Linked DNA regions of Rattus norvegicus. Each later gene encodes a partner of the first gene's protein in a complex. Links are inferred from orthologs where the notes say so. Each region holds a gene or a part of one and is shown on either strand. Other genes may lie near its edges. The genes, in order: Tjp1 and Gjc1.

What was found.
Region 2: the proteins of Tjp1 (region 1) and Gjc1 are in contact, whole or in part, in a crystal structure (PDB 3SHW), measured with the Homo sapiens proteins. The link is inferred for Rattus norvegicus from reciprocal best matches to the Homo sapiens genes TJP1 and GJC1. Residues at the interface, in NP_003248.3 of Homo sapiens: Lys429, Ser432, Val433, Gly434, Leu435, Arg436, Leu437, Gly449, Val450, Leu451, Val484, Leu487, Leu488, Leu549, Asn551, Gly552, Lys553; in NP_001073852.1 of Homo sapiens: Lys391, Thr392, Ser393, Val394, Trp395, Ile396.

Annotation. Positions count from the first base shown.
Region 1 is NC_086019.1:128,273,302-128,277,129, forward strand, and holds part of Tjp1 (tight junction protein ZO-1), read right to left. Parts: intron 3,200-3,828; coding exon 2,972-3,199; intron 1-2,971. UniProt on the Homo sapiens protein: TJP1, TJP2, and TJP3 are closely related scaffolding proteins that link tight junction (TJ) transmembrane proteins such as claudins, junctional adhesion molecules, and occludin to the actin cytoskeleton.
Region 2 is NC_086028.1:88,262,549-88,265,126, forward strand, and holds the end of Gjc1 (gap junction gamma-1 protein), read right to left. Parts: intron 1,901-2,578; 5' UTR 1,881-1,900; coding exon 690-1,880; downstream 1-689. UniProt on the Homo sapiens protein: One gap junction consists of a cluster of closely packed pairs of transmembrane channels, the connexons, through which materials of low MW diffuse from one cell to a neighboring cell.

The DNA.
Region 1 (3,828 bases):
AGCACATGCCTTTAATTCCAGCAGAGGCAGGCATGTCTCTGTGAGTTTGAGGCCAGCCTGGACTATACAGAATAACTCTGCTATAGTAACAAAAAGGAGAAAGTAATGAAGTAAGACAATAAGCAATTATCAAATAATAATCAACAAATCATGAATAAGTAAAGCCCAATTTTGGGAAAAAAAAAAAAAAAGGTTGGGCAAAAGAAATGACATAAGACAGGAGAAAGGACATACATTGACATGACAGGTATACTGATCTCTTAATAAAGATGAATTGGCAAATGAAAACATGCAGACCTTTCAAACATGGCCATGATCAATGATGTTCTGTTCTTTTCTAGCAAGCCCTGCTGTAGAAAGCTGAATCCTGTGGCGGGAGGATGCTTATTTGTGAAGCTGACACTCACGACACGTTCACAGCTTCTCTCCCTTAACAACGTCACATGAACAACAACAAAGTACTACCTGCCACCAATCCACCCCTACACTTCAATGGCAAAGCTTCCAGTGAGAACCATTACTAGAACAGGCTCCTCCCAGACCTGTGTGATTAGCAGTAGGGTGGATGTCTGACACAACTAGCACTGCACTCTTTACAGAGTGAGCACCATTAAATCAGTAAATACTGGGTTCCAGACAGTGTTCCAGACCCCAGATGCACGTTATGTAACACAATAACTAAGTTTTCACTCTTTAAAAAAAAATTGAATTAACATAAAATCAAAAGTGCTTTTCAAGCCAGGCCTGGTAGTGCATGCATTTGATCCTAGCACTTGGGCAGAGCAGGCAGATCTCTGTGAATTTGGAGACAGCCTGCTAGAACAGTCAGCAATATATGAGACCCTGTCTCAAAATCAAACCAACAACAATAACAAAAAGCCAAAAAACGAACGACTTTCCATCTGATTCAGCGGCATATATATTTTTGTAAATTTTATTTTATGAGCATTGGTGCTTTGTCTGTGTAAGGAGGTCGGGTCCCCTGCAACTGTTGTTACAGACAGTTGTGAGTTGCCAGGTGGGTGCTGGGAACTGAATTCCTCTAGAAGAACTACTGAGCCATCTCTCAAGCCCCAGCATAAATGTATTTTTAAGGATATAACCTATTTATCAGGCATGTAAAAGGCATTATAAAGTATTTCTTTAAATACCCTGGCCCTCTTCTAACAGGAATTAATGAGTTTAAAAGTGATCACCTCTGGGCCCAAGAGGAAGGCTCAGCAAGAAAGCACTGACTTTGAGTCCGACAACCTGAGGTTGGATCCTCCCATTCGCCCTCTACCTAGACTCTCATAGTGAAGAAGGGAACAAACTCCCAAAAGTTCTTCTATGAACTTCATGGGTACAATGTGGTGCACCCACCTTTTCCAAACAAATAAATGCATTTTGTTTCATCTCTTAAAGATATATTTAAAATAAGTGACTACATGGAGCTGAAGAAATGACTCAGCAGTTACATGTGCTTGCTGCTCTGATATAAGACCCTGACTCAGCTCCCAGCAGGCACATAGTGGTTCGTAACCATATTTAAATCTAATTCCAAGGGATCTGATGCTCCCTTCTAGTTTGTGTGGGTACCAGGCACATATAAAGTGCACATGCATATATGTTGTCAAAAGACTCATATACACTATTTTTAAAGATAAAATGACTACTATATAATATACCCTTTGCCTTACCAAAACCTGAGCTTAAGTGATTATCTAGATATTGCCAGGCACCTGTATAATGTTGTGCTAGAAAAATATATTATTTAATGCAATTCTCCACTGCAGTACAAAGACTGCATCAGCATTTCTCACAAACTGATTTCTTCAATAGAAACAAAGATTTAAAGAGACTAAGATGTTCTAAATCTTTACTAATGATATCTCAGAAAACAGAAGTAACTAAATTGGATCTTTAATATTACAAGTTTTAAAATATAATCTAAAAGAATTTTACTCAGTACTATATAACAATTTCACATAATCCTAACAGTTGAGGTTTAGTAAAAATGTGCGTGCTTTAATCTTGGGCACAAAGCTCACATCTTATGCCCAAGCCACAGTTCCATTTACTTATAGTGACTAAGCAGGGTGGTGCACTAGAAATGGGTTTTCAGCTAAAATGGATGCCTCTCGCCTCTTAAATTTATCAGGTAAAGAATGTAGTCCTTCCCTGAATTTAGAGGCCCCCAAGTACCTCTTGGATTTTGCTCTCCAGACCATTTTAGGATTTGTTTGGGCAGCTCCCATAATTTTATAAACAAATTCTTTGTGACAAAATCCATCTGTTTTTGTTTCTATTGGTCTTGATTTGTGGAGTATGAGCCCATTGGTGCCTGTGTTGGATCATACCCAACGCTCAGTCCCAAACTCTGTGAGGATCCACGCAGCGATGTACCAGCAGCAGGAAGCACTAATCTACCAGGCGCAAGAAAAAAGTGCACCAATACAGAAGTCACAAAAGAAGAGAGAAGCAGACAGGAAAAAACTGAGAATCAAGAAACCTGTCATTTCATTTTCACCTGATCATCTATAAAGCCTGACTACAAAACTCTACAAACACTCTGTGTTTGAAAAATAAAGAAAAAGGCAGCTTATCTCACCTCTGTGAAACCAAGACCAAAAAATACCTGAGTGTTCCCTGTGACCCTCTCACCTACCTAGGTGTATGTCTTAAAGACAAAAACAAAATAAGAAAAGGATTATCACTCAGTTTGTCTCCCTATGGAGAGACTGAAGACTCATCTTAACTTGAGGGTCTTAAGCTCATTCTTCATCAAAACTCTTGCTTTTAGCAACTTTCCCTACATCAAAACTCTGTGTATCTGATGTTAGGGTTAAGAGTAAAAACCAGGAGTTACAGCCTCTAGAAAGCAGCACAATGTGCAGCTACATACTGCACCCAGTTTCCTTAGAACTTGGAACTCTACATTATGCAAGTCCACCGCTTGTTTCTCTTAGGTGAGTCAGATGAAACAACTTACTTTGAAGAATAACTAGAGAAATTCGGCTGACTCTGAGAATGGACTGGCTTGGCAGGCTCTGAGTGATGGCCAGCAGGAATATGTGCAGGAGGCTTGCTCTCGAAACTTCTCCGGTCAAAGTAAGAGAGCTGTTTCCGGTAATACTCTTCATCCTCTTCAGGATCGTAATGATTTGATCGAACAATATCTTCAGGTGGCTTCGCTTGAGGTTTCTGAGGCTCTGGGAGCCTGATAATGAGGAACAAAATGATTTTTAGGAGCTAATTTTACAAAGACAATGGAACATAAAAATCTAATCCTATCTTGATTCCCCCCTTTTGTCTGTGTGCGTAGGCCAATGTCAGGTACTGTTCTTCAAGATTGGTCTAGTTTTGTTTTGGACTTTCATCTTTTTACTGACAGTTATGACTATTTGGGCTTTAATGGCATAGTCAGCATGTATCTTCTAAAATAGCATATTCATGCTATACATGCAAATGTAGGCTTCCTTTGCCTCAGGAGTTTTCTAGTAGAATTTAGCAGACTCAGTGCTTGTTTGTTAAGGTGTTTCACAGCAGGTGAGAAGCAATTAAAGAAGAAAGAAATCAGTTCTGGAGAACCATATCAATGTTATCGGCAAAAGGGACTTTTTTCCCCCCATTTTTTTGGAGCTGGGGACCGAACCCAGGGCTTTGCACTGGCTAGGCAAGGGCTCTACCACTGAGCTAAATCCCCAACCCTAAAAGGGACTTTTTAAAAACTTTAATCTAGGACCAATAAATGATTCTCATTATAAGCAAAGAGCCCAATCTACCCGAAATCCTAGAGGGCAGAGCAAAGAAACAGACAAGTCATGAAACAGCTGACTATACTGGACA
Region 2 (2,578 bases), on another chromosome or scaffold:
TGCAGCAAATCACTGACTTCCTTTGGAAATATTTTCCAAGAACAGCCACAACTCTGGTCACAGGAAGGAGATTCCAAAATCTCTCCAGGAGAAGGAAGGTTCCAACCTCTCTCTAACAGGGATCTTCTTCCAAACACTTCAAGTCTGGTGTTTCTGCCTCGGCTTCCCTATGGATCTGAAATCTTTCCTGAAACACGAGAGGCACTTTATTAAAGTCCCATCTACTAGAACTCCAGTCACAAGATAATATTTGCTAAACAAAGTAATAACATTGCCCTTTAACAGACATTATTTACAAGGATTTTTCCTTTAATATAAAAAAGTGTAACTACAGCAGTCCAATGTACAAATACAAAAAAGTTATCATACTAAAAAAAAATGTACCATAATACTGTACATACAAAACTGTTCAACAAGAATGATTTAAATATATCTGTTCTTCTCCGGATCTGGAAGACACAGCTTAGAGTTCTGCAACTGCATTATTGCTGAGAACCTGTGCCTGGGAACACTGTGTTTCCCGCTCCGGACTCATCCCAGATCCACTTTCAGTCCCCTGAGTTTGGATCACGAGCCAACAGCATCCCTGAAGATAACCAGAGCCAGATGTTTACTCAATGGGAGTCATCATTCAGCAAGTTGCTGCTTACCATAAACTATGGAAACCCAAGCTTTAAGCCCAACCAAGATTAAATCCAGACGGAGGTCTTCCCATCTCCTGATTTGCTACTAATACTGCTTTTGTTGGACCCAGATTTGGACCCCACTTTGGCCTTCTTTTCCCGAGGACCATGGGGGTTGTTCTGGTGATGGTAGGCCTGGATTGCTAGATCCAAGCGTTCCTGGGCCATTCTGATCTCCCGCTGCAGGGTCTCCAGATCGGCCGGGAGGTGCTCCTCGTGGCTGCCGTACTGCTGCTCCTGGGCGATATTGGCTTTGTTCTGCTTGTAGGCAATCTTAGCATTGGACAACTCAGTGTACTGGATTTGATCTGGTTTGACAGCAATGTTATAGCCTGGGGGAGCAGATGGTGTATTCCAAGTGAAAGGATAATTATAAGCACCCGGATCATCAAGTTCCCTCCTTTTACTGTTTAGTGAGTCTCGAATGGTCCCAAACCCTAGATGAAGCATCTCCCAAATGTTAAGCAATAGGCAGAGGCCTGTGACACCATACATTATCAGAAGGAAGATGGTCTTTTCAGTGGGTCTAGAAATAAAGCAGTCTATCTTATGAGGACAAGGAAGTCTGCTGCACACATAAAATGGGTGTACTTGGAAGCCATACAGGAAATACTGCCCTATGAGAAAGCCCACCTCAAACACAGTCCTGGCTAGCAGCTGCAACACATAGATTTTCATGAGCCCATCCTCACGAATGCGTCGGCGGCCATCATGCTTGGGTTTTGGTTGGCTCTGCTCTTTATTTTCTTTCTCGCTTTCTAACTCCATCTCTGGGTACATCATAGGATCCTCTTCATGGTCCTCTTCCGTTTCTTCCAGAGCCCGGTGCTGCTTCCAACGCATGGCATAGGGTTTGCTCCGAGCTGCCTTCTTGTCTGCCTCGCCGTGCTCCATTTTGGCAATCTTGTGAATAGCATATCCCAGGTACATCACAGAGGGAGTAGCAACCAGGATGATCTGGAATACCCAGAAGCGCACGTGGGAGAGCGGGGCAAAGGCATCATAGCAGACGTTCTCACAGCCCGGCTGCTCTGTGTTGCACACAAATTTGCTTTGCTCATCATAGTAGATGGACTCTCCTCCTACCGCAGTTAGGACAATTCGAAAGACAATCAGCACAGTGAGCCAGATCTTCCCTACAAACGTCGAATGGTTGTGTATCTCCTCTAGCAGGCGAGTCAGGAAGCTCCAACTCATGGTGGTGGAATTGGTTTGCCCTGGAAGGTGGAAAGTACCAAGCAGGGGAAATCAACAAACACTAAAAATAGTTGTCTATTTTTGGTGCCCAGTCCCACAGATAATCCAACCCTAACCACGTAAATTCATAGCATCTCTGGGGACACTGCAACCTGAGAGGTTTCCCATTGCAGACTCAGAGTCGTACAGACATCCAACTATCACTGCCCCTCACAGCAGCAGCTGGGGGCCAGGCAGCACTGTCCTCCATGCCTGCACACACACGGTCTTGTTTGTTCCTACTTCACTGACGCTGTCTCAGAGGCAGCACACCGTGTTACATACTTAGTGTGTTCTGGACATCCAGACACTGGGGTAGCTTTCTGGTCCAGTCATAGAGCTTACCATTTTAAAAAGGGACCCTTGGGTTGGACTCCATTACGAAGGGCAGTTTACTAGAAAGCTTAAGTTTTAAAGCAGGTAACAGAATGTTAAAAGTTATTAAGAAGCCAAGAGTGGTGACATCCGCCTTTAATCCCAACACTTGGGAAACAGAGACAAGGCAATCTGAGTCCAATGCCAGTCTAGTCTACAAAGTTTGTTCCAGGACAGCCAGAGATACATAGTGAGCCCCTCTCCTTAATGTTTTTTCCAAAAGTAATTAGTGACTGGTGCAGCTGCAAACAACCAATGATGAGCACTAAGTAGAAAGGAACCAA